Drosophila melanogaster: one gene and its partner. The protein of the gene in region 1 interacts with the protein of each later gene in a pairwise test. Each region holds a gene or a part of one and is shown in the gene's direction. Other genes may lie near its edges.

The links.
Region 2: the proteins of CHOp24 (region 1) and HGTX interact in a two-hybrid assay, tested with the Drosophila melanogaster proteins (one large-scale study listed by BioGRID).

The regions. Positions count from the first base shown.
Region 1 is NC_004354.4:4,538,670-4,543,046, forward strand, and holds CHOp24 (CHOp24), read left to right. Parts: upstream 1-2,238; 5' UTR 2,239-2,333; coding exon 2,334-2,475; intron 2,476-2,547; coding exon 2,548-2,882; intron 2,883-3,237; coding exon 3,238-3,387; 3' UTR 3,388-3,837; downstream 3,838-4,377. Other genes in the region: rb (ruby), read right to left, coding at 1-40, 106-934, 995-1,636; CG3568 (uncharacterized protein), read left to right, coding at 4,034-4,243, 4,309-4,377.
Region 2 is NT_037436.4:14,596,327-14,601,481, reverse strand, and holds the start of HGTX (HGTX), read left to right. Parts: upstream 1-1,941; 5' UTR 1,942-2,546; coding exon of another isoform or gene 2,547-2,768; coding exon 2,769-3,696; intron 3,697-5,155.

The DNA.
Region 1 (4,377 bases):
AGACGCTTAATCACCACCACGCTCTCGGCCACCACGTGTTCTAAATGGAATAACGGAATACTTATAAAATTAAAATACAAATGGCTAAAAGAAAGCTTAACGCACCGTCATGATTGGACAGCAGATGAACCAGGCCACTCAAGCAGGTCTCGGTAACCTCCTTAATGCTAGATGCACATCGTCCAATGGCCTGAATCGTGGCCGCCACAAACGAACGATCGCTGCTGGAGATGTAGGTTTGAAATTCGCGCAGAATGAGCGAAATACTGCCCGCCGAGGCCAGATTGGTGAGAATATCCAGCTTGAGAAGCTTTATGTGCGTGGGATCGCTGGTGCGCACAAAGAACGACTTGAGGTGCGGCTCAAAGATCGCCTTTCGTTTGGTGGACATCGAGGCAATGCAATTGAGGACCACGCTCTGAACCTCCTTATGCGATCGCAGCAGTCGTATCAGCGCCTTGGCAATCAATTGCACTTCGTTCTTGGGAGCCACATGATGATAGAGCTGCGCCACTGCCATCACCACGGAGGCATTTCGCGATTGGAGCAATGGTTTCGTTTGCCTCAACAGCAGGCGGTGATCCACATCGATGTGGTAGCTGTTGCTCGGAGAACTGGGTGTTCTACTGCCATTTCCTCCGCCATTGTTTTTATTGTTCGTACTCGACTTGTTTTTTTCGTCATCGCTACTGCCATCATCGCTGTGGGAAGAGGAGTGCGAGGATTCGTCGTAGAAGCGTTCACTAACGGGCGTTTCGCCCAGGCCATCGTTGACCAGATCCTCATCATCCGCATTGGGATCAACGAACTGAGTGCGCGCATAGCGGGTCAACATATTAATGATGATCACCTGACCCCATTCGTCCACATCCAGCAGGAAATTGCACAGCTTGCGGTAGTTCTTGTGTATCAAATCTACACGTTCCGGACAAACCTACGAATAAAGATCCGTCGTATATAGAGGATAAATGTTTTACTTTAGCTGCAGACCCACCTCGTCGAAGGCCATCACCGCTGATCCCACCACTAGAGTAGTGCGATCCGATAAAAGCTTCTCAATGACCATGACCAGTTCATCCTTTTGATCCGCGTCCAGAGAATACAACTTGGGGATGGCATGTGCCGCTGTTTTCCGCACATATGGACTCAAATCGGCGGCGCTATCCCGAATGGCCAGCATTACGATTGGCACAATCATGCTGACCCTTATGGAGGATAACACTCGCAGAGCCGAGGCGCGAATAAGTTGATTGGGATCCTTGAGCGCCCTCTGAAATGTGGAAATGGATAGCAGGGCCAAGTCCTGCTGCTCCTCGGCGTATCGCACCAAATAGACGTAGACCAACTTCTTGACCTCGATATTCTTGGACACCACATTCTTGACGACTGCCGGGAACAGATCACTGGCATCCCGTCCGCGGGCAATCATGCCAATGATGCGCTTCATGGCCTCCAGCTTTAGTCCATCCTTGTTGCTGTCCAACATTTGCTTGAGATCATCATGCTTGCGTCCATCGGATTGGAAGAAAGCTGCTCCGCTGGCAGGATCCGCTCCGAATTCGACGTCCAGTCCCATTTGGGGCCGCTCCACATATGTGGACATGGCGAAGGGATTGCTGGCCGAGTTCTGCTGCATTCTTGCAAAGATTCCCCCGGATTACCCAGATTTCGGTTGACCACTTGACCTTTTACTTTCCGTGCTGATGATTTTTTTTTTCCTTTTTTTTTGTGTGTGGGAGTTGGCAGTTTTCCCTTTCGGTTTTTGCAAATGCGTCCAATGTGAAACCTTTGTTCCTGATGTTGAATCCTCAAGACGATCTGGTGGTCAGCTGCTCGTCCTGCCACGCAGCTTGCAAGTTTTGCAAGGGATACTATTATTTATGCCGAAATTCTGGCCAATTTTTGCATTTTTTTTTTTAGCTTTCTGTTTCCTAATGGTGGGCAACTGTCGATAGTCGCCGATTAACACATAGCACAAAAATACTAGAACACTTTAACTAACTGTGATGGAATGCACCAAGAGTTTTTCATATAGGTACGCACATAAATAAAGTAATGTATTAGTTACGATATCCAATACTTTAACCGAAACATTTCGCGGCATTCATGTTGCTTTTGAATTTTTATGAGTTGTGAGTTTTTTGTAGTGATCCGTTAAAAATTCGGTATCGCGTGTCGCGTGCACCTATCGATGCCGAATCTATCGGAAACTGCTGTTCTTCGATATGCCCTATTTGTCTACATCTATCGGAGTATATCGAATCGACTACAACTACGTGGCTGCAGTGCGTTTAATAGCGATTAAAACCAGGCCAAAAGTACTAAGACAAACGATGGAATCGACACTCGCCAAGGTGCTGCTCCTTGTGGGCAGCCTGCTGATCCTGTGCCGCACCAGCCACGCCTTCATCGTCAGCGTGGACGCCCACAATGAGGAGTGCTTCTTCGAGAACGTCGAAGGCGGCACCAAGTTTGGTACGTGAGCGATATGGATTTTCGGTCAATTGACAAGGGATCTATGCTGATAAAATGATGGTGACTTTACAGGCGTCACCTTCGAGGTGATCGACGGTGGCTTCCTAGACGTGGACATCAAGATCAGCGGCCCGGATAACCATGTGATGCACGAGAGCGAAAAGGAGTCGTCCGGCAAGTACACCTTTGTGGCCCCCGCCAAGGGAACCTACACCGTGTGCTTCAACAACGAACGCAGCAGCATGACCCCCAAGCTGGTCATGTTCTCCATCGACGTGGGTGACGCACCGCAACGTGCGCCCGGAGCACCCGGCGAGGAGGAGGTGGGCCACACCAAGCTGGAGGACATGATTCGGGAGCTCTCCGGCACGCTGACCAGTGTCAAGCACGAACAGGAGTACATGCATGTGAGTGAAGAGACGAGGTGAAGATGGAGCATCCAGCTGCCACATAATCATGATTGGGGGTTTTGGAAGAGTTTAACATGTAGCAGAATTAGGGGTACATGGAATATGGGAGCAATCGAGTAACTATTGCCACATAGTCTGGCATGCCTCCAGCATTACTTGTACAGATCCACGTCGCAAGATTTAAGAGCGGAGTCGGTAGACTTGTTCGAGGGAATGGAGCTGCTAGCTGCCACATAAACAATAACTAGTAGCGATTTTCAAACACTCATGTTTTCACCATCGGTTATAATCAGTATTGACATTATTTGTGAAGTAATCCACGACTAATCCTCCAATTTCTTTACTCCCTCAGGTGCGCGACAAGATCCATCGTTCGGTGAACGAGAACACCAACTCGCGAGTGGTGCTGTGGTCCACCTTCGAAGCCCTCGTCCTGGTCCTGATGACAGTGGGCCAGGTGTACTACCTGAAACGCTTCTTCGAGGTCAAGCGCGTCGTGTAATCCCGAGCGGAAAACCAGGATGGAAGTAGCAAAGGAAGGCGGCACACGAAGCTCTGGGGGAAATGTGTGCGCAATGCGTTGCAGTCTCAGATTTAATTTAAATGATTAACATCCTTTTGTAATTTAAATAAAATACCTTGTAAAAAGTAATTAGTGCTTGAAAGTATGTCGATCATGTTTCTGTTTCGAGAATTATTAACAGAGATTGCTATATTAGAGAAATTAATATATATATTTTTTTTTAATTACCAAATATCTCTTAATGGAAACAGAACAGCAAATATTTTCAGACACACATTCAAGGGGGGAAGAGACACTTGTGAACTTTCGAACTAAATTGATAAGAACCATTTGTTTTCTAATAAATGTAGGTTGACAAGAGAAAAGTTTGTTTGCAACTTCGAAATGGAAATGGATTCTATAATAATTTCGAAATATCTGAATGGAAATAAAACAACTTTTCAGAAGCTATATTAAATTCGTTTCAAATCTTTTTGAGTGTTGGGTAGTTAATGTGACAGTGGAAATAAGTTATTAAATCTGACGTCGGTGTGCAGCACTGGATCGTCCAGTGACAGTTGACATATATTCCTATCAGCGGCGAACTTTTTTGTCCGGACTCCTAAAAGTGACTCCAAAAAGTGCGATGAGATCTTTTCTTTATATGCTCTCCCAACGTCCCAAATTGGCATGTTTGTGCGGAAAATCTATTATCATATGGCCTGGTAAACGTACAAATCTGCCGGAAAATGCTTTCACTCAGCGGATGCTTCAAGAATGTGGCCAAATGGCAAAGCCGGACGCTTCGGTGGATCTCGATAATTTCAAAGCTATTTCGGAGCAGTCTCCCGCCGAGGTATACTCATTGGAATTGGTTTCGCAAAATTGTCTTCTGACATTGATATAATCCCCCCACATTAGTTTGGCATCGATTCCTGCCGAGTGAAGGCACAGCCGGAAGATCGAAGTGACCGCATACGGGAACAAATC
Region 2 (5,155 bases), on another chromosome or scaffold:
TCACAGTTAGGGCTTGTGTAGTTTTGTTATCTTTAACCAAGTTTTTAGTGTCTTGTTAGATTTTTTGTGGGGCCGAAATTTATGAACACTGTAAATATACTGTAAAAAAGACTTGATGGATTTAGTTATGAATTTATAAAATATTATTTTTTTTCTTAAGGGTATGTATTATTATGTTTTTCTTGTATTTAAAGTTGTCTTAAAAAAAATGTAGTGACAAACGACTTATATTGATAATATAAATCTTACAATTAACTTTTTCGTTTTTAAACAAATTCAATAGTTTTTATATTAAAGCTGAATGCTTACAGGCAACCTTAAAATTTAAAGTGTAAATTTTTCAATATTTTTCGTTAAAGATCTGTTAACTACGATGAAAGAAAATTCTATGACATGTTTTCTGCCACGCATAAATTTATGGGGAATTGTTTCAGATCAAAGCAAAAGATGAGGGCTGCTTAGACGAACTACGAAAGGAGAGACGAATGGATGGGTAAGGCTTCCAGGAGTATTTAAGGTCTTCATTTTTATGGGTCGGCAAAGTCAATTAAATAAAGAACACAGTCGAAAATCAACAAGCTGTGGTGGAAATGACCAGCAAAAGATAGAGATACTCACTCAACGGTTGAGTGAATTCGCTCCTTCATACTTTCACTCACATTCATTCACAATGGCGGTCCAAGTTCTCTCTCCCTTTCTCATTTTAGTGGGCGTGGCCTTGCCCTCTATTCCACATCCCATTTCATTCCTATGAGATCTCACCGTTTTGTCTGAGTAAATTAAAATTGTGTGTAGTTTATTATTAAATGAAGCGCATTTTTGTATTTGTATGTGGACCACCCGTCTGCCTGTCAGAGTATGTGTGTGTGTGTGTAACACCAGCAACAGCGGTATTTTTATATAGATAAACATAAATATAATTCGTTGGCCGTCGGTGGGTTAACAATCCTCCGGCCCACCGACGGGCACATAATAATATTAAAATGTTAATTAGCGTATTAATTCAGTTCGGTGATGAAAGTGTGAGCGGTACAAAACGTGATACATACATATATATGTTGGTATGCTGTGCTGGGACTCACATTTCTGAAAATAATTTATAAGATAATCTAGAAAAAGGTGTCTTTGGTATATGGTTAAAAAAAATCCTTAAAATATAGAGTAATTAAAAAATAAAACTATATAGGCATATTCTTTACAGTTCGCGAATTAATAACATTTCACATATTTATGTTATATTACTTAAGTACAGAATTTTGTATTAAATTAATTACAAACAAACATTTAAAAAAAGTGTTGAAATACTTCTACTTTAACCTATAGTTTCTCGTTTACATTTATAGCTCTCATTTATCGCCAGCGCAATTTTTAATTATTTAAATGAATAAGTCCAACGAAAAAAGCTGCCAGCTTCGTCTCAATATTTATAGCTTTTTAAACAAATAAACGGAATTCGCAGTCGACAAAAAGGCCACCCACAATCCAGCGACCCAGGGAAAAAGCCATGAAAATGCACTCAGCCTCAAGGAAACAGTTGGCCAGAAAAGGACAGATGGTGGTGCAAGCGAGACAAAGCACACCAAGAGTGCCAGGATAAGTTCCCGTTTCAGTCCCAGGCTCCAATCCGAATCCGAAATAGTTGATTTTAATGATGTACATAATAAAATTCCCATTCGTTTTGTGCCAATGCCACTGCGTTCCAGTCTGCATTTCATGTTTACACTGATTGTGGAACACTCTTGTGGGCGAGAAAGAGACACATCGATATGGGGGAGCAAGACAACCATATACGACTCTCTCCCTCGCGCGCTCTAGAGATGATGCTGCGAGTGGAAGTGGAATCGGAATGCGGAGGGTTGAAAGCCGTACCCCCAACCAAAAACCGAAACTGAAATTGAAACTGAGATTGTGCGACTGAGGGCCAGTCGAGTCAATTTCGAAATCATTCGTTAGTCGTAGGCCTAAACAAGCGGACACGCGCGGGTCTTCATTCACTACGATATTTTCCGGCCACGGAGTTACCCATATAGCCTGATCTCGTTCAAATCGATTATGCCAAGTGTAGTTTCTTAAAATCTAAGAACGATTTGAACAATAAACGTTTTCGTGCTCAACCGTTTGACAAAATCGGTTTCGTGCTTGTGCTAAAAAGGATTCAAGATCATTTGATCATTTGATCTTGAATATATAGATTTACGTGTTTTAATCGTATCGTGATCGGAAAATATTAAAAACCCTATATAAATATAAATACTGCGTACATCGGAAACTGAAGTGCTGACATTATAATTGAAAACAATTCAAGCAAAATACGTAGTTAAACAAAATTTCCAAAAAATTATTAAGGAACTCAATAAGTTTTATAAGCATAAAGCAGGATATCCCCTTAAATAATTTTTTTGGTCTTAATTACATAGAAGTAATTAATCAAAAATATTTGAACAAAAAGCTGCTATTGCTTAAATACTATTTATAACCAAACTGAAAAGCCTAAATCGTTAAGATTCGATCTTCTCCGCGTGAATACCTATCCGTAGACCGATCCCAAGCTGGGTAGTCCATTCCTGAGCATTACGCCGGCGGGTGGCAGCAGCAATCCCTCGCCCACGCCTCCACCGCCAGACGCCAAGGTGGCGGCCAAGCAGCTGGCCCAGAGCTTCCAGCTGTCCGCCAATTCCGCCTTTAACTTGGCCCTTCCGCCGGCATTTTACCGAGCACCACCGCAGCAGCACCCGGAGTGCCTGGACTACGGCCACGAAGCGCCCGAGATGGATCTGATAAATCCGTATATGCGCCATCATAGTTTTGCGGCCGCCGCCCAGGGAAGTCCCCCGTCGGCGGCTCAACGTCATCATTTGGCGGCGGCCATGAGCAATGGCTTCGCGGATGTCCATGCCCATGCGATGGCGGCGGCGGACTATCAACAACAGTTGGCCGATTACCACAGTGCAGCGGCGGCAGCGGCCGTTTATGCCAACAACAATAATAATAATAACAATAATAGCAGTAACAACAACAACAGCAGTCCGCTAATGTTGCTAAAGGCGGCACATGGCGGAGGTCTCAAGGATTCGGACTCGCCATCGACGACACCGCCACCCGCCTCTTCTAGACTCCATTCTGACTCCTCGCCATCTCCGCGATACGAACACAATTCCAGTCCCGGTGTGGACAGTGCCAAGTCGTATGCCTTGAGCCAGAGGAGCAGCGGAGCGGAGGATCCATGCCAGACCAGCGAATCCGCCAGTCCACCGCCGCAGGGCCAGAACGACTACAGTCCCGAGAATCTCAGCAGCCAGAGGGCAAAGTTCCAGCACCATCATGGAGTGAACCCACTGGCTTTGCACAATGCCAACCATGCCGGAAACCCCGGATGTCACAACAACAATAACCACATGGACCACAAGCTCCCACTGAGTTTTCTCGGTCCCCCGCTGGCCGCTCTTCACTCGATGACCACGGAAATGAAGGGTCAAGGAGTCGGTGGATCGTCGGCGTCGGCAAATGGCTTGTCCTATAGCCACAGCCCGAATTCGCATTTGATCAGTGATCGCGGATCCGGTGGCAGCTCATCGTCGTCCTCCACCACGACTACGAACACCAACAGCCAGGGTGCACCCAATCCGCACGGCATCGATACCATCCTCTCCAAACCACCGCCGGTGACATCGGCGGGTCTAAGTGCTTTAACAGGAGGTGAGTAAAGGAATGGATTTAATATGGGTTGGGTTTATTATATATTATACCCTGTTATTTTATACCAATTATATTAAGGAAGAAAGTGTATAAGGCCATGATTTGGGGACTTTTAATAAATTTCGAACTTCTTAAAGATGTTTGTTAAAACACACATTTTAATAATGCATAAAATAAAATACATAAACAATGGTTCTTGTTTTTACAATTTTATTGACATAAATCTAAATTTGGAAAAATCAAAATATTCCATTTAAATTTAAGCGCTTTCCAAAAAGTTGCTATATGTGTTGCTTAATGCTGAAGAACTTTGCTCTAATTTGAACGCATAACTATTAAACTTAATTGCATAATAAAAATGAAATAATAATACGCTACCTGTTTATTTACAATTGTCTCTCCCAATTCAATGCACCTAGTCATTATGCAACACTGAAATATGTGTATATATGTACATATGTATCAGACACGAATCAATAGATATTTTGTATGCACCGAACTCAAAAAGCCAAAGAAAAAAAGAGATATATTTTAAATGCTTCAAAAACTCGTTTCGCAAACCAAACAGAAAAATAAAAAGGCAATCTCGTCGAACAAAAACGACCGAAAATTGTTGTTTTGTTTACGAATCCGGTTTGGCATGATTCCATATGATTCCATGATTCAATAAAAGCCATTCCCCAGCCCACAACCCCCCTGTCATTACGCCCCCTGGTCGCTTTACCTAATCAGGGCAATTTTGGATATTGAGCACACCGTTTTCTACGAAACCCAAAATGGTTATAATATCCAATTGCAAAATTACCACATAACGTAATGAGATACGCGTTTTAACGTTAAAATTTGCAGCAATTAGTTGTCAAATTGTTTGTAATTAAATCAAAATGACACACAAAAAACGTGGTCTATATGGAAAATAAATGGTGGAGGGGATCTGAATCTGTGACGCTGTCGTTTCACTAAAATGATTTGGTTTTTCAGCCACTCTGCGTCGCATTTTTTGTACTTTTTCACTCAAATGTAGACCAATTGTGTGACATGACAGTGGTTTGAAAGGAGGGGGCGCGGTTGACAGGGTGATGACAATTTGCCATAACATTTTTAATTATTTTTAACGAGGGCGTTTATGTGATTTGATTCGTTTATTTGGGTTTTTCTTTAAACGATTCGGTCACCAGAAACGTAACTCATTCTTTGACAAATTATTTAATGGTCTTTAATTAATTCGAACAAATTCCGTATTGTGTGTTTGAGTTCGCCATGAGTGGGCAGAAAAATTGGCTGGCTGAGAACAAATTGCGCGAAATTCTCATGAAAGGGAAATAAACTTTGGAGAGGATTAGTTAATGGGGTGGGCTTATTAAAATGATTATGCAATTCACTACACAGTATTTTGAACATACATATAGAAAAATATTACATCAGGGATAACAATATTTATATTAATATGCGAACTACT